Lepisosteus oculatus: one gene and its partner. The protein of the gene in region 2 binds, or shares a complex with, the protein of the main gene of each other region. Links are inferred from orthologs where the notes say so. Each region holds a gene or a part of one and is shown on either strand. Other genes may lie near its edges.

The links. Proteins that work in one complex are often made in the same cells at the same time.
Region 1: sf3b5 (region 2) and gpkow share a complex: the UniProt entries of both Homo sapiens proteins name them as parts of the minor spliceosome. The link is inferred for Lepisosteus oculatus from reciprocal best matches to the Homo sapiens genes SF3B5 and GPKOW.

What each region holds. Positions count from the first base shown.
Region 1 is NC_090697.1:75,063,416-75,074,501, forward strand, and holds the start of gpkow (G-patch domain and KOW motifs-containing protein), read left to right. Parts: upstream 1-6,424; 5' UTR 6,425-7,215; coding exon 7,216-7,418; intron 7,419-7,668; coding exon 7,669-7,832; intron 7,833-9,172; coding exon 9,173-9,312; intron 9,313-9,974; coding exon 9,975-10,064; intron 10,065-11,086. UniProt on the Homo sapiens protein: RNA-binding protein involved in pre-mRNA splicing. As a component of the minor spliceosome, involved in the splicing of U12-type introns in pre-mRNAs.
Region 2 is NC_090712.1:1,904,472-1,914,965, reverse strand, and holds sf3b5 (splicing factor 3B subunit 5), read right to left. Parts: upstream 3,929-10,494; 5' UTR 3,819-3,928; intron 2,493-3,818; 5' UTR 2,487-2,492; coding exon 2,226-2,486; 3' UTR 1,910-2,225; downstream 1-1,909. UniProt on the Homo sapiens protein: Component of the 17S U2 SnRNP complex of the spliceosome, a large ribonucleoprotein complex that removes introns from transcribed pre-mRNAs.

The sequences.
Region 1 (11,086 bases), on a different chromosome or scaffold from region 2:
GCAGGGGTGAAGGGCCTTGCTCAGGGGCCCAACGGAGTAGGATTCCTCTGCCGGCCGCGGGATTCGAACCGGCAACCTTCCAGCCACAGAGCCGCCGCTCCGCCCAGGAAGCTCTGAACTTCCTGGCCCGTCTCCCCCCCCTCCAGGCCAGAGGTGCTTCAGCCGCGGGGTGAAACGGGCGGGGTGGGGAACTCGGTGTGGGAGCACACGGCCGTGCCAGTCTGTGCCATGAAAAGAGCTGAGGGTGCAGTCTCAAGCCGGCTGCGGTTTCCCGTTTTCATGGATCAGCCCTTGTTTCCCACTTCTCCTCCTTCTGTAATTTCACACTGGGAGACGTGGGCAGAGGAGCACACTGTGGAGAGTGGGTATTTTTGCAGAGGTCAGTCCGATTAGAGGTCAGTTTCTACTGCCTCTGGTGACTGGAAATAGATCTGGGCTGCAAGGTCACTTTAAAAGTAGGATTACTTGGGCATCTTATTACCCCCTTCCTCCAAAAAAAAGGAACAACGCTGAAATTTCTGATCGGGTGGATTTCTATGGGACAGTCAAAGAGCTGCTGGGTGAGAATTCAAGGCCCTGACGAAAAGAGAATGCATAAGCGACACAACACCAGGCACAAAACACAGCAGACCCCAACACTGCAGTGCCTCTCACAGCTCGGTCTGACACATACCTGCATGCACAGGGAGCAGAATTCTCAGTGTGGGAAAACTGGAAAATCCTGTTTAGGTGCTACGGTCTACGCAGTGGGGTCAGATTTTCCCGGTGTACTAACTGTACACAAACCACTGTTCTAATTCATTGACCATGGGAAGGGGCAGTTAGCCCAGAGGGAAAATAAGGGCCCTTATCTCCAGAGCACACAGCGTGAGCACTTCTGTTTTCAGGTATCCAGAGAAGAGGTGGCACTCGGAACAGCACTGGACTGAGGTAATGTGGGCAACAGACACAGCCAGAGGAGAGGACACAGCCGTAGAGCAGCAACGCAGGATATGTAGGATTTGTAATATTGCACAAATAGGGAAATGTGTTAAGCACTGAGAACAGGAGCGGCCCCTTTACACAAAGGGTTGGCGGAGAATGGAACAAGCTTTCTTTCAGGAAGCAGCTGGATGAGATTAGCCTTGCCACCTTTCCAAGATGAAAGGGGGAAACAAAAAAGAGCTTTTCGCCACCCGCAGACAGGGTGTGCGCCCCGCCACGGTGTTGGGGTACCCGTGCCAGAACTACTACGGAGATGAGGGACCCCTCGCTTGTGTCGGGGCCTGCGCCCCACTTCTTTTAACAGTCGTTTTAGCACCTGCAACCAGCGGGGGCACGAAGCCAGCAGGCCGAGCAGCAACCCAGGACAAGCTCCTCGGGCCCCATCGCCACCCAAGACTTCTCCTGCTCAGAACCCGTCTCGTGTTCTGACGGAGCCCGGCTGGGCCCGGTGTGGGTGAGCTGCCTCTTCGCCTGCAGGCTTTCAGCAGCGGGTTGGCTGGAGAGCAAGGCAAGAGTGCTCTCGCTAAATCTTCACACGACACAACAGACACGTGGGACTCCGGCTGGGAGCTCGTCTACGGCTCCTCGTCGTCTCTGGGCCCTGGATATTTCAGTCTGGTACCCCCAATCTGAATGGGCGTGAGCAGACAGAGCCAATCGGCACAAAAGCCTGGGGTGGTCGGTTGTGTTTCGTTTCACAACAGACGCCGCAAGTTGTTTATAGGCCGAAACCTATAAAAATCGATTGTTTCATTCGCTGGGAATGGCAGCCCGTAGTCATTCACCACACGAGCGCGAAACGAACAGAGATGCAAGACGAGAGGGATTCTCAGTCACTTGAATTCATTCAGCCTCAAGATCCTGCCACAGTGGATCTGCTTTCATTATTTTTTCATTGATTGATGAATCTTGCAACGGCATTTCTGAACAGCTGGCTCTGTCTTCACAAAGGCCTGTAGTGAAACAGATCTGTATGTTCGGTACTCTGGAGCCCCTCCAAAACAACAGTAGAAACCTTCTAGTGAGAGAGCGGTACGACCATCCAATCACTCCATCATCACTGGTGGTTCAAATTCAATGTTTGATGGCCAGATCTTTCCAGGTTCAAGTAGGCTGGTCACTTTGCAAACGGCTAAGGCTCATTCAAGATTCGGGGTTCAGTCTGTAACCTCTGGACTGCAGGGATTCATCCTGGACTGGTACCCCCTGTGACCTCCAGTCTGCAGGAGCTCATTCTGGACTGGTACCCCCTGTGACCTCCAGTCTGCAGGGGATCATCCTGGACTTGTACCCCCTGTGACCTCCAGTCTGCAGGGGCTCATCCTGGACTGGTACCCCCTGTGACCTCCAGTCTGCAGGGGCTCATCCTGGACTGGTACCCCCTGTGATCTCCAGTCTGCAGGGGATCGTCCTGGACTGGACTGGAAACCAGTCCTGTAATGGATGATGAGGAGTCAGGCAGGGCCCCCTCTTCCCACTTCGCAGGAGAGACTCAGTGGAGCCAGGCTGTAATCTGAGCGTGCCGTATCCGGGGCTGTGCTGACACAGACAGGACGGGACAGCAAGGTGACCCGAACAGTGCAGAGTCCCGGTCTACACTCGATATCCCCCGATCCCATCCCCACCTTCAGGTTGATTCTGTGTCAAACACTGCCCACCTTCCAGATCCACGCTTTTTCTTCTTCTTCTTCTTCTTCTTCGTCTTATTATTATTATTATTATTATTATTATTATTATTATAGTGCAACACTGTACAAGCCTGGACACAGAAGCGACTATCTTCTTAACGGAGTTTTAAAGCAGCACAGCCAATGTTTCGAGCCAGTGTCCTCTTTGGTGTGAAAGGCACAGCGAGTGGCACCAGTGTGACATCCCGCTGAGACAATCGGATCGCTGTGAAGCCATCTGGAGGATAAAAACTTTCTCAGAGTCTTGTCTCCAGCAGCACCCCTGACAACACGGGTCTGCCACGAGCTCTGAGAGCTGACCAGCCCGAAGAGGCGAATCTCGCGCTCAACAAAAACCTTTTTTTGAAAAATATACAGTATATACTGTATATAAAAATAAAAACAGACACATATAAACACAGAGGGGAAAAAAAAGTTCCTCTGATGATGATGATGATTTTACACAAGTATATGTATGAAATTAAAAAATAAATGAATTGGTTTTGATTTCCGGTCCGGTCTGGCTAATGCAATGAGGCCCGGCTGAATTAAAATCAGATCCGTCTATTTTCTGACCACGTCTATTAATTCAGGGTCGCAGGGGAGCTGGGGCACAAGGCAGGGTACACCCTGGACGGGACGCCAGTCCATCACAGGGCAGACAGACATAGACACACACGCACTCTTACCAGCACCCATCAGCCAACCAGCATGTGTTTGGACTGTGGGAGGAAACCCACACAAACACGGGGAGAACATGCAGACTCCACACAGACAGCACCCCAGGTCTGAAATTGGACTCAGGGCCCGAGTGCTACAATGCAGCAAAGCTGACCCCTGCGCCACCGAATTAAAATTATTTTAAAGAAATACAATGAAATACTCTAGTACTGTTTCTAGTGCTACTGCCAGTGCAGAACCAATAAGAACACTGCAGAGTCCCCCAAAACAGGACAATTTAACCAGCTTTTCATAAATCACTTCCGCACCTCAGTGGTACAAATACAGCATCAGACATCTGCACGAGATCCTGCCAAACCTGCACAAGCCCAAGGTGCCCCAGGCAGCCCTGTGTCTGTGTCAGCTCCTCGTTGAGGCTGGTGCTGTGTATCAGTGGTACTGTCTCGGTATCAGGGCAGCGTGTTTAATGAAGGGGAGGACTCTGGGCGGTCTCCGATGATCCTGATGGAAGTGACAAGAGCTCAAAAAAGACAAACGTCAAGCGCCTGCCCCCCTTAAACCAGCAATAGCAGAGTCCCCCAGAGATCCGAGTCAAACCAATGTGGGTGCACTGCACCACACACACGTCCAGGAGACGCTACCCAATGGGCACAGCGAGCAGGCCATGGGTCTGGGATCAGGCGACCGCTGTCTGTCCTCATCACACACAGCCTCATTAGGGATCTGTGGGAGGCAGCGGGGCTGAGCTGGGGACAGTCAAAAAGAAAGGCTAGCAGCCAGTCCAGTTTTTTTTTTTCCCCATCAGGAAGAACACCACCATGTCGGGCGGTCATGAGTCAACCTGTATAAAGGGGGACACATGGGTTCCAATCTCCACATAAGTTTAGATCCCTGTCAGGAAAACACCGGGAACACCTCTGATCGACCCATCACTTGTCTGGAAGAACGACCTGCTTTCTCTTGGAAATCCTACTAGGCAACCCACTGAGCTAGAAACACGCTGAGCCTACCCCATGAGCACCTCGAAAAAGATCATTTTCAATGCTTAATAAACGTCACTTTCAGTTTTTCAGACTAGAGGATCGCTCTTCATTTACGCAGGTTTCTGTCCGTGGCAGTTAATGATTCAACATCCACCGTGTTGTAAAACCACCTCATAAAACACGGTATGGCTCTGGGTAATCGGTAATCGCAGATGCAACACTGTCTCCCTGTACTGTCAGGCAAACGGGCTCAGCTGTGGCTCGTTTAAATAGCTTTCAGGGTGGCCCGGCGGAAACAAAAGCATTATCCGGTCACCACGGACGGTAAATTAAAAACATATCGCAGTATAGGAGGTACCACACCTTGGTGTACCCCGATAAATACCGTTTTACTGACAGATGTGTACAGAGCTACACTCCCCTTTTCGTTAATGTGACAAACCCTAGTGCTGGTCTGTCTCCTTACTAGTAAATGAGCCGGGAAATCTGCGGAGTTAATTACAGTGTAGCTACCCCGTCCTTTTCCACGGTTTATTACGGCTAAATTGTGTTGTTGTTGTTTTTTTTCAACGCGGCATTGGTAACGAGCCCGGGTCCTCAGTTAAGGGAAGCAGTGAGATTTGACACACAGAAATACACCAATCGTCTTGACAGTAGAGGGTAGAAAAAAAAACGCCGAATGCTAATGACTTGGGATGTTTTTATTTTTTATCAGAGAATTTGAGATACGACGAATCTCCTCACAACCTCACACAGATCAGACGCCACACACACCAGATTGCGAAAAAAAAACATAATCGCTGCGTTCGTGAAAAAAAAAAATGAAACTGAACACGGTATTATTCTTCCAAACTGACTATTTCACACACTCCAGCGGACACACCGCATTACGTTATTAGCAAGACATCCTCGTAGACGTATACATGACAGATCCGTGTAGGAAATTTACTCATCCTTACGACACAGGCGTGTGAAATGCACGACCACATCGTGTATGTTGTATACGGCAAGCCGACAAAATCAAACACTTGCGTTAAAAAAACCCACTCCGCCTCGGCAACTGTCCTGGCCCGTCTCACACGTCGGACAGGCTTGTATAAGCGGTTTGGGCGCCCAAACGAAAGGCAGTTTATCCAAATAAATAAATAACACGTCCATATATTAATATTCTACTGTACATCGACCTGACCCGAGCGGTTGACCCCGATCAGTAACGCAGCGGGTCCCTATCGGGGATGAGACTAAATGGATTATTTTTAACCCCCCGTCCCTCTCTCCCTCTGTTTGTGTGTGTTGATTTATTTAAAAAAAAACACAGGCCGTGTATATAACAGTGGATTATTACTATATAATATTAATTTCACACTTGGAAGTCGCGGACAGCCGACGACCCGCTCTTTTCCCAACGGCGGAGCGCGAGACGCGTGACTGAATTTGGGGGGGGGGGGCGGTCGAAACAAACGCGTCCGTTTGACATAATTCGTTTAACAAATCGGTCCCCGTCCCCGTATAAAAAACAAAAACAAAACATCTTTATCGTCACCCCGCTATGAGAAAATGACAACAAATAATGTCGGTAAGAAGAAATCAAAAAATATCTTTAACAAAAAAAAAAACCTTACCTTCATCGTTCCTGCGCCTTCACAACCTATTCCCTCGTCTCGGTTCCGTACTTCTCCAGATATTACTTAAATATTCACATTCACATGCGGCTGTGATGCTCCTTAGCGCCGTTTTTGTATCATAATGATCATGCTCGGATTAGACACGGGCGGCGGTGCTACTGTTTTGAGAGAAAGGTGTTCACTCTCCTGCTCCTGCGGCAGGTCGCCATGCCTGAGACGGGCGATAGGACACAGGTCAGAAATTGCATTACATTTCATTACAGTCTACAATAAACAGCGGCGGCGATAATGAGAGAAACAGAAGAAGAGGAAAAAACGGAGACCCGCCTGTACGGGCAAGGGATTGGACGAGGCTGGTGTACTGTATGTGTGCTGGCTCTGTGTGTGTGTGTACAGATCTACAACCGCACCGCTTCGCTTTAAAATCTCTTGCCTCCAAACACGTCCAATTAATCCCCGTCCAGTGATAACGGTGGGCAGCGGGAGAGGGAACCAAGGAGCTCGGCTTTTAAATGAACACACACACACAAAAAAAACCCAAAACTTTTATTTTTTACAGTACAGAACAGCGATAAAACCGACACAATGAATGCGAGGGGGGGAACTGAAGGTCAAACGCGCTTGTAACGAAGAATAAATTCATACATTCAAGACAAACGACGCCAGTACGTGTTCTTGACCTGACCTACATAAAGCGATAATAAAAATATTATCCTCATTTGTATACCTACTAATTTCCGCCGCATGCCTTAGTGAATATTTTTTCGTACTCTGGCAAATTGGGGCCTGTTTTCTCTTTTAATTCATTAAATCAAACCTTCAAAATATAATAATGTGGGCATAGTTGAATTATTTCGGGTATTTCGCTTGTTATTCTATAAGCAGATGCGTTAAGCGACAGATAAAAAAAAACTGTGCTTCAAAAAGGCAACATGACTATGGAGCTGTGCGTTTATTTTCTAAATACAATATATGACAAAAATATATAATGACTGTAACTGTAATCGTTTTAAACTGAAACGATTCTGTTTCCAGTAGACTGGAAATAGTCAGCGCTAAGAAAAATCCAACAACCTGGTTAGTCTCCATAGTGATAGTCTGCTGTGACCTTGCGTGACCCGAAAAACTAAGGCTGCATTGTAGGAGTTGTAGTCCCTGGTGTCGATAACGTTCATTACCGTGCACGCCTGAGCAGGATGAAAAGGACTACATTCGCCAGGGGCACCCGCGAGCTGGCTGCCGGCTTGTCGCGGCTCGGGACCCGAGGAGGAAGAAATGGCGGACCCCGACAAACTACGAAGTGATGCCGGCGAGAAACACGGGGAAGTCGGAAATGGGAGCAAAAAAAGGGAGGCCGCCGCCGGCCCCGTGTCTTTTGGCTTCAGCAAAACCGTCAGCAAGTTCAGAGTTCAGAGCTCCGCCGAAAAAGTGGAGGAGAAAGACTACCTGACCGGTGTAGAAGGAAAGGAGTTAAAGAGGTATGGCCGAGAGTAGCGCTCTACATAGGGTACCGGGGTCTCAAAGACTTTCAAAACTTAACCTCGGGGTGCAAAATTTATTGTAGTGTTGAAGTGTAGTAATTTCGCTTTTTGTTTCTTTCTGGTTGTATGTCTTGCCTCTCTTGTGTTGACTTGATTCGGGGTGTTCTGGTGTCTTTTCCTGCCTGCTTTTGACTCTGCATCTCGGTGCGCTTGGGTTCGGGCGTGTCGTCTGCGCTTCTGCGTCCAGCACCAGACCAGCGGAGAAGCCCAAGGAGCTGGTCATCCCGCTGATCCACAAGAACCGGTGGTACAAGGGCGAAGGGGCCAGCAGGACGGCCAGCGAGACCTGTCCGCAGCCGCCCAGGGAGGAGGATGCTGTGGAGTCGCAGGCCGTCAAGGAGCTGATTGAGGGTACGTGCATCAGGCTCTCCCGGCGTAGCCCACTGGACCGTTTCGGGTTTCACCAGCTTCAAGGCTGTTGCGCGCGTAAACACAGCTGGGCGGCACGGTAGCAGTTCCGGGGTCCTGGGTTAATTCCTGCAGGCTGTCTGTGTGGAGTTTGCACGTTCTTCCACGTTCATGTGGGCTTCCTCTGGATGCTCCAGTTTTTGGAGTCCAGTTTTCTGGGAAAATTGGTCCTGGTGTGGGTGTGTGTGTACGGCAGTGTTTTTGTGCCCTGCCATGGACTGGCATGCCGTCCAGGGTGTAACCCACCGTGCGCCTGTTGCTTCCTGGGATGATACCCACCTCCCCCGGACTTGAATCGGACGAAACAGTTGGAAAATGGATTGATGGGTGAATGCTCTAGTTTGTGTTTCGGTGTTCATCCTGTTGAAGTCCACTGGGTTGACTCTGTCAATGCCTTTGAAGATTTTGAATACTTTAATAGGGTCCCCTGGTAGTCTCTGTTCAAGACTACAAGAAAAACTGCACTTCCTTTAACCTCTCAGTGTAGTAAGTTGGTACAATTCACTCCACCAGTAACCAGCCAGTGCACAAGAACCCACTGCTTGTTCGAAGACTGAAGTTGCTCCGTCAGCTGAGCACCAATCTTGTTTCTGTCCCCTGCTGTTCTTCGGGTTATTCTCCTCCCAGTTCTCCTGTTACACCCTGATCTTCTTCTTCCCTGACCGCTGCTAGAACTCCTCATTTGATGTTATCATTAAAGTGCTTTCTTTCCAAGGGGCATTGCTGGGAACTTAAAATGCATGGTAAACTGTCAGCCTAATTTTAATAGTCTGTTAATATATAAATGCGTGCATCTGGTAGCATTAACAGAAACCTGTTTAGAAGAGATTCAAAGAGGTTTCTTACAACCATTGTTTTAGTTTCTTTAATTACTCCTGTTGAATGGAAAAGCATTATGTGTCACTGTCTCACGGACACCATGTTTGTGAAGGGATGTGCTCTTCTTTAAATAAAATGACGCATCCAGGCTGTTATTGGAATCTTTTACTAAAATGTTTTTTTTTTATGGTGATTTATAAAAGCACTTTAATCCTGTAGCTGCCTGGGTCTCTCCAGAGTTACACCATTTTGCAGTTAGTGTAGGAATGGAAAGATTTCCACTGCACTGACGTTGGTCTGAGTTGCTAATCTGAGTTTTACGAGCTCCAGGCTCTGCTATGTAAACCAACACCAGCCAGCCTGGCCTGCACCTCCCCGGTCCTGAAACGAACGAGGCTCCTGTCCAGTGGGAGAGTCTTATTGTCTTATTTCCACCCCGTCTTATTGTCTCTCTCTCTCCTCAGAGTCCCAGCGGCAGCAGGAGTTGTGGAAAAATGGCGGAGCGGCTGACCTGAACCTGTCCATCCCGCTGCTGATGCAGAACAAGGCTCCCGAGGGCTACGAGGACGGAGACAAGATCCAAGTGGACCTGCGGCCCGAGTCTGTGAGTCGCCGCCCCAGCCCCTGCTTCACAGAGCAGAACCAACTAACTCAGCATTTGATAACCATTAAAAATATTGTCATTCCTGGGGACTGTCATTCTCTGAGTTTCCCACAAATTGATTTATCCTCTCCTGCGGCTGTAACAGTTAAATGCTTTCACTGTGCACTAGTGCAGTTTAATTTTCTGACCTTTTTTTTTTTGGTATTGATTAATTATTTTCCCCAGTGCCATTTTAATTAAGAGTTGGAAGGGACCGCCATTGTTAATGTAGGATTTTAGGCGCAATTAGGAGATTAAATGTGCTTTTCAGATCCTCTGGTGATTACGTGGCTGTATATGTTGCACCTAGTGCGTTTATATATATCCAGTAGGTAGAGGGAGATAATTGGGTAACTGGACAGGCATCTATTGCCTGTGCTCTTCATACTGTCTAAATGGCTGCACAGTTCATTAGCAGAATAAAAGAGCTGCCAGTTCTTCAGTGTCTTACGAGCACAGGCTCCTTGCTGCTGGAAAACTGTCCACAGTGTTCCTCGGTCTGTACAGAACATGGGTGCGCAGGCATGTGTGCGTCCATGATACGTGTGTGAATGTGTACTACATGTATTAATCTAGGGTTTGTTTCCCCTTTTTGTCCTCTTGTCTTGCCTGACGGGGTTCAGGATGAGATTCTCTGGCGCGGGGAGCACGCGTCTGGACAGGAGGGTGCAGAGATAGAGAGCTCACCCCACTGCTTGCGCTCGCCCTACTGTGTGAGTGGAGGTAGATGGACTGGTTGTCGAAGAGCCCCTTGCCCATGTTGTCCTGTTGTTCTGGCCCTGGGGGTGCAAGGGTTCTCACTGCCCTCACAGACCGATATCAAGCACCTTCGGGTGCTGCTTTTGTTCCGTCTGCCACCAAACCGAGACGAAAAAAACATGAAAATCCGGAAAACATCACACAGAGCAGCAAGGCAGTGAGCCTGAGGGTGCCCGACCGCAGCGGGGCGGTGCCGTGTGAACTCCTGCACCCCCCAGCCGGGCGGACTTGTTCGCTCCGGGGCGGGGGAGGGGGGGCTGCTGACATCGGCACGCGCTGGCAGCCAGGCAGGACTGCAGGGCTGCAGGCTGCTGCGGCTCTGGGCTCGGCCGAGCCATGGGGAGCCGGCGCACGTCCGCTCCCAGGATCCGCAGCACCGACAAGAGTTCTGCTCTGTTCTCGAGGTCGGAGAGCTACGGCCCTCATGCAGCGTCACAGAAACTCCTGAAGTTACATCCCTCCTCCGTTCTGCCCTAAATTGTTCCTTGGGTTTCTGGGTTTTGCCCACACCGAGCTGCTGTGCACATGGCCAACGCCCACTCTAAGAGATAAGAGACTTTTAACCCTCAAACTGTGAAATACCCAAGGCAGCTCCTGGGGCCATCCCCCGCCCTTCTCACTTTCTCTCCCAGCTGTTGTGCGAGTGCTGTAGCCTCTTAGACACAGATGCTGGCTCTTTCTGGGCAGAAGGGAACATGGCATTAGTTTTACGTCGGAGTTCCCTGTTCCACCAGACATTCAGTGTGCTGCTAAATCCCAGTCTTGCGCTGGTACACGAAACAGCTCCGAGAGACAAACAGCTGGTGTGCAGCAGGGTAAGCCACGTCAGGTTTTCAGCAGGTGATGCTCACTTTATTTGGAGCGAAAGTCTTGAAAAACCTGGAGCTGCAGGAATATTAAACGTGTTCACTGTTCGGCTGCGCCACTGCTGGGACGGTGATGCGTCGGCCGGATACAATGTTTTATTTTTTGGGTA
Region 2 (10,494 bases):
AGAAGAGAACAGCCAATGTTATATTATCTCATTTGTTAAATTACTGTTTTTTTAGTTTTCAATACTTAAAAAGCTTGTTACACTTTGAATATGTATTTTTGGCTTAAATGCTTTGTATTGATGCAGGGCTTATAACATAAATCTATTCTGGGGACATAAGAGATTTATACAGACCATTTTCAAAGAGATTATATTTATACAGATTACTGCACTAGAGCAAAAGTAATTTTCTTCGATAAGGCACGGTGGAAATCTTCTCAAACCTTTTTTTAGTTTTATCTTGGTATCATGTATACACATGCAGACCACTCAAAAAAAAAAACACTATGATCAAATAACCTTTCTCCAAGAAGAAAATTTTAGAACTGTTCCTTCTGTTAGCCAAAGGAAGCAAAATGATAAAATAAGTCCTTCAGTGACACAAATTCTTTACATCTGTCACCATTGAATTTAAATCGTAAGACATCCCTAATCTATTTCTCTCACACAGAACATGTGAGCATGCTGCCAAGAAAACTAACAAAATCCACAGTTCTTTCTCCAAATAAAAATGCAAAGCCTGTAAAAAAACGCCTGTTGTTGCTATGGTATTTGTGCTTGCCAAGGGAAACCATTTCAGTTACTCTTTCCTTTATCAAATGGTTGATAAATACCATATGCATGACATATCAAAAGATAATTACTGTCCTCCTTGAAGCACACTACAGAGTTCTGTAAACTCCAACAGGCATTTCACAATAGATCTGCTTTTTAAATGCCATAACAAGACAAGTACTGCATTAATGATCATCAGACTTTCCCCATGACTAAAAGCAAATCTGGAAAAAAAGGCAAATCCCAGGAACAGACTGCCATTAAATGTCAGTGCTGTTTCAAGGGCCCGTGTCCAACAATCACACGTCGGCTTCAGCTTAACAGCACGTCACCACCAAAATAAAACTTGGAAACTAAGCAGAAGCCAAATGCACCAGTCTGGCTTTTGTCAATCACACTGAAATATATCCTGCAGAGAGTGTTAAACAAAGTTTTCAAAAACTGAATATTTACCAGCATTCTTTCCAACATTATTTTAGTAGTAATAGGAATTGCAACATCTTCCCTTGCAAGTAAAAGTTAAATGGCTGTGTTACAAGTGCATGTTCTTCACAGCTGCCAACTACCGATTTCACAGCTGGTTTTAACTTCGAGTTAGTGTAATTGGTCATACAGTACTTCACTTTTAAAGATCAAAAAGGAAAGAGAGAAACTTTAAAATTTTCAGGAGTAGCTTACCCATTTTGAAGTTTCCATCCCTTCATTAACAGGATCACCAGGTTTGGCACCAATTTGTCGGACTTGTGTTGTCCTGCAGTGGCCCAATCCCTCTACGTTTGACTATATAGGATAAACTATGATGTAGCTTCAGTAAGAAAATGAGCTGTTCAATGTCTGTAAAAACCTTGATTTAGATAAACATCAGAAGGATTCCTAAATACTACATATTTTCCTGCTCAGTTTTATAAGTAATATCCCCTTTTTGAAAGTTTCAGTAATACAAACTTTCTATTAGTGCTGTAAGATTACAGTACTAATCAATCAAGTTTGGAAACACCGCGCAGAGACAAACAAAGGGAGACATTAATGATGATTCTTTACTGTAATCACTCAATTCTGAATCCTGTGCATCTCTGAATGGTAACTACCTCCTCTTAGGATCAGAGCTACAACTAGGATAGACCGCTCAGCTGAAGAGCCCTTCCGAATTAAAGGAGACCGTTAAAAAAAACAGCCAACTTCTAAGCAGGTTGCAAATACTGTCGGACTTTTATGGCCAACACCCTGATAACCGATGAAGACCACTGTATAACAACAACAAAATACACCCGAAACGGACAAAACCCTCATTATAAGCATGTAAGCAACAGCAGAGTCAAATCGGTCAGCATTAATTTATTGTAAAAATATGTAAAAAAAAAAATCAGTAAAATATCACCCAACAATGAGGAACACCAGAATGAACTGTTTCTATAAAAGCACCAGACACCACAACTGAAATTATGAACAGACGCCGCCACTGGCTTATCCGAACGCTGCCGAAGATAAAACCGCCGCACTGTGCCAAGACCAAACCGACTTGCTCCCGCCCTTCCCTTCGCACACGCAGCCGCTTGCGTTCTCCATCATCGCAGTCCCGGAGGCGCCCAGAAACGATCTACAGAGGCACGGCCCCGGGCTGGCCCCCCGGGCTAGGCGTCGTCTGGCTTGTCGGCGGGCGGCCCGCAGGGCTGCAGCATCTTCTCCATGAGGTTGAAGCGCACCCGGGCCTTGCTCTCGTTCTCGGCCACGGAGAAGTAGTTGAGCAGGTCGAAGTGGCCCATGTAGGAGCAGTAGGAGTCCCGGTGCTGGTTGACCAGCCACTCCCACTTGGTGGTGTCGGCGTGGCCCGTCCCGATGTACTTGGACTGCAAGTGCTCCAGCTGGCTGTGGATGTTGTAGCGGTCCGTCATCTTCCACTGCGAGAGGAGCGCAAAGCGATCAAAACAGGAGACCCCTCGGGTACAGCAGCTAATCAGCGCGAGTCGGATTGATCATGTCTTATCCCTTGCGTTTAACTATCAGTTAAAGAACCGAGATGACTTCAGGTGAGGGTATAAACAGAACAAAAGTTAGTTTTAATCTTTTTAACCAAACGGCTTCTAGCATCTGGTGCTTCATGTCCTAGTGGGTGCCTGAGATTTTGCATCTTCAGTCTGCTGCTACAGTACAGGAACGGTAAATCACAAGAGCCTCTGAAATTTCATTCACTTTGAATTATCATTAAAGCGTCTCATAGAGGCTGCCATTCAGGAACACGTGCCAGAAAAGAGCTTTGAGCTCCTAATGTTCGTGATTTGTGATTAAGAGACATTTGAATAGGTATCAGGAAACAAACCAGGTCTTATTGGTGGTGGTGGAGGGGAGTCCCCATTACCTGTAAAGCGCTTTGAGTGGAGTGTCCAGAAAAGCGCTATATAAGTGTAAGCAATTATTTATTTATTATTATTATTCCGTCGAACTTGCATGTACAATTGGAAAAATATACCCTGTCAAAGCATACTCACGGCGGCTTAAATGTGGGCGGGTACGTAAGATGTAAGAGAAACAAAAGTTATTAAAAACAACTAAAATATTCAATTGTGAAGACAAGAATGCGATCACCAGACTAAGTCTAAGAACTGAATTGCAGACGGAGGCCTACAGTAGCAGTTATAGTGGTAGGAGTATTGGTATTTATTTCATACTGAAACATATACAGTTAAAGTCATTGATACGAGACTAGTGTTTTCAAGTAATCAATAAAAATATTTTTAGCATTCCGCCATTAATTCGTAAGATAAAATGCAATATAATAAGTCTAAGTGGCTTAGAAACAATAACCAAAACTTGTGATACAAAGAGTACAATGTTAGTTATTTTTCAGAATGTGCCATACAAAGTACATTTAGGGTTTGAGCTAACAAGAAAGGCTACTAGTTTCACCGTCGAGAAAGAATTACAAAAACAATCCCATTGCTTTTACGTAACTATTTCAAAACTAGTTAAAACACACCTCAAACTAATCCCAGTCTATTCCTGAAGATCAACGAACGTCGTACAATAAAAAATGAAATAAAATTTTTCTTTCGTTTAAAATAACCTGAAAACTCATGTCTAAAGTAACTAAAATACTTAAAATGGCGTCGTAAACTACTTTAACACACTCGGTTAACAAACGCACATTTAACAAAACCTTCCCTTTACCTTCACATAAATAACTGACAGACATTTAATGTATAACAATTCTAAAAATAAATTCTTACCACTGATGACTTTAAAATAAACAACCTGAATAGCCTTTTCTTCCTACGGAATTAGTTACCGCTCCACTCGCACACGTTGAAATCGCTTTCTACAGGAAGCGAGAAAGGACAAACAGTCTCCTCTTGCCTTCGCAAAATTCGATTGAGCGGAAACCCTGACATTGGGTCGACGGTAGACTCCCTAAGTGAACGTAATTAAACGAATTTTAGTAGGTCAAAGGATTTATCTTTCGCTGATAAATTTACAATAGGTTTCATTTTATGTACCCCATAAATGTAACTATTTTTCTTGTAAATATCTAATTTGCTGGCAATTCTGCTGAGAAAAGGAAGTAGGTTTTTACACAAAAGGATGCTAGAGTCTGGACCATGTTAGTCGGCCATGTTGTTGGGGTTGATACTCTGTCTTTCTTCAAGAAAGACCTAGCTGAGATTGTCAGCTCCTTAAATAGCTCCCGAAAGAATGGCCTGCCCTCATCTTTATCCTATCTGATCTTTTAATATACGGAAGAAAGCCATAGATCCGAAGTCTTGATGGATCTCCAGCATGAAGGCTGCTCAGGACTATGAATATGTCGTCTTAATACCCTTTGGGGTAACTGTTTTTAAGTTCGTCTTTCTGACCTTTCAGCACCACCGGTTACTGAATGGCAAATTCAACTGGACTGGTCCAGTATCCTGTACTACGCACAAAACCAGCCTTTTAGATGCATTCCATGTTGGACTATCAACTTAACTATAACTGCTCTATTTTCATTTAAATAAAGTTTCAATTACGTTAGTTGGCTGATGCAACTTGCTTTTGTACCCGTTAAAACAGCCTGAAGAAATCTGAGTAAAATAAAATATGTTTTAAGACTCACTACTCCACACTGATGCCCACATATCTCTTTTTCTCCTCCTAAAATAAAAAAAAAGATGATGGAAATGGGGGTTGCTTATTTCTGGTTTCAGGCCACCAGATGCAATTCACACACCTTTCTCACTGGCCTTCCACTCTGCTGCTGAACTACCCAAAAACCTGAGGGTTCACCTTCATGGCTTGTTGGAGTGAATGATGTTCCAGTTGTGGAGTATTTCCCAGTGAGCGGGGCTAGTGCTTTGCTGTCATTGCTATAGTAACAAGAAGTAAAAGGCAGAGACCTCCGAACAAGGAAATGGGCTCAATTAGCAGCACAGCTGTGGTGCTGTGGCTTCACAGAGCGCATAAACATGAAACTTTTCCTGCCGTTTCCCAAAGCTCCCAAACACAGATTAGACATCCTGCATTGACCGAGCAAATATAATTAGCTTATTAACGAAGAGCAAGTTACAAGTACACATTGTAGCTAGTTCACTGAAAAATGAAAAATTCAGGGCATTGTTTAGTATTTGTATAACCCGTTAGCAGTTCACCAATGTATAATGTACCCATTCCCTTGATGTGAACCCACTTTATAAGGGATATGTGTAATTTTTATTGTGCTCATTTCTAGTTTTAGATCTTCTCTTAGAATTGTAGAGCCGTTACACTGAAAAGAATTTGACGGGTCTCCAATTCAAACATGATTTTCCCTCATCAGCTTGCTGATTAAACTGTTGCTACCAGTGAAAATTAAAAAGGCCGTGATATAATTTAACACTTTTTCTAATATCAATAAATGCCGGTGGTATGGTGATCACCAGTTGTAAATTTACCACGTTGATTTTTGCTGTAATGAGTCGGGACACTAGGCAAGGTACTGTAGAAGCAACTCTGAAAAAGAAGGGTGACTTCACCAGCCTTCCTACTGTTAATGTATAATGTGCTCAGACTCACAACAGTTAGGTGTGTGCTTGGTTAAAGTGCACAGGCTCCATCACATACCCATCTCCCCATTATCAGAAAGTCAATAACACTACTCTCCCCCTGGTCCATCACAGGGCCATGAAGAAAGGACTTGGGATAGCCAATCAAACGTGGCCACCTGCTTTGGGGAGAGGAACTCCTGTCTGGGTGGCCAGCCCTGGTCCTGGACAGCAACAATCCAGCAGGTTATATGGGTTATATATATATAACCCATATAACCTGCCTTTATATGGGCTCATACACAATTTCTAAGCACTTGAATCAGTTTGGTTTAAACTGCTTCTTAACCAGATGCTTTGTGCAACTAAGCTGTAGATCAATGAAAACTAAAATCCCCACGCCCTACAGTTCAAAGTCCAAAGAGGTGCTGAAATGACATGAATCCTGTGATCATGCAGAGGGCTGTTCAGCTGGCATTGGGCACCGTTTAAGCTGCAGTCTTTGATGTTACAGATAGTGCCACTGTCTGCCTGAGCTGGCAGAGGTCCGCACTGACAGAACTAGAGAAAGACCCCCCTGACTGCATCCCCCCCAGCCCCAGCTGAAGCACTCAGAATAACTTGAGCCTGATTCGAGGTTCTCCTGCTGCCAGGAGGCTGGGGATACAGGCAGCTGCAAAGAAGATCAGAAGAGGAAGAGCGCTGTTCCAGTGCTTCACCGTCTGGGAAAGGGGTCACAGTGTTGAGGGAAGGGCAAGCTGAGTGCAGAACATAGCGCTCAGGGGGAAGGAAAACCAGAAGACCAGAAGACCCTGCGCTGTCTGAGGACTGCAGTTGAGAAAACAGGCCCTGCTTCTCACTCTCTCCTGCAGCTCTGGGAAATGAAGGGGAAAAAATGAATGAAAATGACATATAAGGTCTTGTTCTCTTAGTTGAGTGCAACAGAGTTGCCCCAGCATGTACAACATGATCACGGTATTACTAAACAATCACCCTGATGCATCTGTAGGCGGCCCCTCCTCATCAGGTGGTCCAGAATAAACACACCTGTGGCAGAGTGGAAGCTCAAAAACATATTTTCCAGTAAAAAGATGCAATTCCTCTAGGTAGGTCTTACCTGCTCTGTGCTCTCGTAGGAAAAGGTAGAAAATGAAACTGCTTCATCCCTTCCAGTCACTTATGTCACTGTTGCTAAGTAACCCTAAGTGAATTAAACTGCAGACCTGAATCTTCTCCAGGATGCCTCTGAATCTCGATAGCTGACTGGTGCCAACTTCAATGATAGCCCACTCCTAAACCCTGCGTTCCTTAGATTATATTTTGCTTTAACCGAGCTACAGTATGTGCGTTGCTCACATTAACTTCTTTTTTGTACTTAACAGCATAACCTAAAAGGCAACCACACAGCAGTAATTTGTTTTCTTATTTATATCTTAACATTTACATTTAACTATTGTTACATTATCCCTTCACAATAAACCCAGTATAATCTAGTTAATTTCCAGTTTCTAAGAATCCTGCTCCATAGAAACTGATCTGCAACTGTTATTTATGAATTGACTCCACTAGGAATGTTTCTCTTAATTTTTCGATCAAAAAGCTTTATAGGGCACAAAGAAGTAACCGAATTGTCCCGCTAAAAACAAGTAACCCTCTACTAAAGAAACTGTTTATTCTTTCATTCCAGCCACATTGTTGCAGTTTTCAAACAGCAATCTTTTGGTCACTGAGAAGTATTAATACAACATGTAAGATTAATTTAAAATGTTAAAATGTTGGTTGATGCACAATACTGGAATATCAAAGACAAACATAATTAAACTGGCACTTCCTACACGACTCACTGTTTTTGTGCATCTGTTCTAATATCAGTATTGTGACATTTCAGACATGATTATTTTCTGTGCAGAGCAGCTGTTTACTTGATTTCATTCAAGCTAAAATGCCAAATAGCACGTGCTATTCAGAGGATAACAAATGTTGAAAATTGACATAAAAGGATTAATATGTCATTATTTAATTTCCCATATAATTTAATTTGAATCCGTCTCTGCAGGATATGATCTCCTGTTGTGTGGTCAGTAGCTGGCGAGAATCCGGCATATCTGCTGTTGCTTGAAAAGCATTAGAGCCATTCTGCACACCCACCTGAGAGCTGTGGTGCATCACTGAGAGAATAGAGGAAGGCACACAACATCACACGATGTGTGCCTCACCTTCGGAGACAGCTCTCCTTCTGAAAAGAGGGAGGAATCGATCTGTAGAAAATGCAGTCCCATCAGAAATTTACCTCCAAAGAGAACCATGCTAAATTTGCCAAATTCTCAGCCAATCAGAATGTGTAAAGTCCTGGGCTCTGTGTACGGAACCCCTCTATTAGGGTTAAATCAGATTTTTGAATACTAAAGAAGATGCTCTCGTACAGTGAAAACACTGTTTTACACAAACTGGGGGGTGAAGAGCTGGCTGTTCTTTAACAGGAAACACAGCCTGACGGCATGAGAAAACTTTCGGGCCACTGAGTCAGACACAAGGACCTGCTTGTAGTCCCTTCACACATCAGTACCTCAGAGACACTGTGCAATATAACAGAGCACGCTCACAATGACACTGTGCCATTGGGAATAAAAGTTACAGGCAGTCTGATGCTGGACTTTGTTTATTCAAGCAAGTTTGCAGCTGCTGAATGCAGGATATTTTGCGTGAAATCAACTATACGGTATGTCCACTCCTTTCCATTAGAGCTTCATCTTATTTACAGACCCAGACTAATTCTAATTAACTCATTAAATGCATGTTGGCTACTGTGGTAATGACCCAAGGCTGCACAACAAGTGGCATGGTCTACAGAAAAATGGTTTACAGAAAACCTTCTGAAGCACAGAGAGAAAAATATTCTTCAGATGGGTCCTGTCAGAGCCCAGATAAATATGTTTCACACTCCAGGGTGTCTGTTACATGCCTACTGTCGCAATCATATTTTGTGAAAAAAACAGAAAAGGTTATTTACACTGCTGTTCACAACATTATTAGATAAGAAGATACAAAGTGCTTATAATTTCTGATAATAAAGAGTATTTGATGAAGGGGCATATACTGTAGCTGCTCATAAACAAGAGCTGTCTCCTTTTGATGACATCATCACCAGTCCAGGAAGTATCTGCTAGTTGGGGTACAGTTGTTGTGTCAGGGCTAAATCATTTGAAGAACCAAGAACTGAGCAGAAGTGGAGGTTGCAAACTAAGGGCTGCAAGCAAGTACCATATCTGCACCATGGCTGAGAAACTGAATGGAGTGAGGGTTACCTTCACAAGTATTCTGGAGCACATGTGTACCAAAAGGTTCTGTGGAGCAGCGCTGTGGAGTAGCTCAAGCTAAAAGGCCAATTTCGATCATGGTGATCACAACCCTGAGATATATCAGATTAATATCAGCATTTACGCAAAACTAAACACCAACTAAAATCTTTTTTTTTTCATAATCCTTTGGATGGAAGCTGTTTGTGGTCTTCATGAATGTCTTTTTTCATGGTGAAAGAAGTAAAGTGACACTTTATAGATAAGATATATCAGTCAAATAGAACATGAAAAAGAATATGTTCTTTTTAAAAGAACCATAAAAACGATTACACTCCATAGGTTTGTTTATTGAAATATTCACTCATTTAAAAAAAGGCTCAGCATGATTACTTCAACATTTTAACAAAATGTAAATTCCTCTTACAACGTATGGTGAAGCAGAATTATTAACCCCAACTCCCCCCCGCCCCCCCAAAAAACTAAAAACAAAAGAATTGTCTGGATTGAATCAGAATTTTGACCTGGCCAGCAACAGCACCCTGTTGACACCCAGTGTTTATCTGACAAAATGCAGCCATTAAGTGCTGGACTTGCAATCTGGGATCAGCAGGAGAACCCATTCTTGTCACATCATACAGCTCTAAACACCATATATAATAAATATTATTACAATAAATATTGCAGATCCCTCATTGGTTGACGTGTCCAGCAGAGCACTGTCCAGATGTGAAGCATTAAACACATAATCCCATCACAGGTCTTCCTCAAGAATGACTTTGCCTGAGACACCTTTACTTCCAAATTTGGAAATCATTCCCACTTGCCCTTGGCAAACACAGTCAAGGTGCATCTAAGATAAACAGGGACATCGTAAACAAATTTGTCATCACAAAACTGTCAGGTTCGATTTTTTCCAAGTGACATTTGGAAAGCCCAGGAGCAAGTGTAAAAAACTGAGGAGACCGTAACTTTTGTCGGCTTTCCCTTTTCTTCTTCGACATGTTTGTTTCCGAAACACAGAAATCACACCAAAAAAAAGCCCACTAGCCTTTCAGCCTTTCTCTTATGATGTTCACTTCAACTTAACTGTCAAACTCCCATTATTCTGCTGAAAGCCGGACAGATTCTTGCAACTATTACAAATATAAAAAATGCCACTATTACATTTAATACAACTCTCCCTGCTGCACCAACATGCAGACTCAGGTAGAAAACACTATGGTAATGCCCCTCTTCCACTGTATGAATTATTGATGTAGTTCCCTGTTCCCCTTGTCAAAGCAGAAATAATGACATAGTTGGTTTACAGTTTATGAAATAAATATTGCAAGTGTTTTTAATAGTAATTTCTGTATTTCACAAAAATAAAATATGACACAAGAAAACCTGAAACATAAAAAATATGGGATCCATTAAGACATTTAATGACGTAAATATACTTTTCAGAAATGTAAATGTCAAACACAATGTCATGCAAATTTCAGAATTCTGAAAATAAAACATAATAACTTGAATGTAAGAAGTTTTGTACATGTACATTCACCAGTGCTTAATTAGCCACACATCAACTGTATACTTTTAATTTACAACATAAAATACAAAGAACAGTC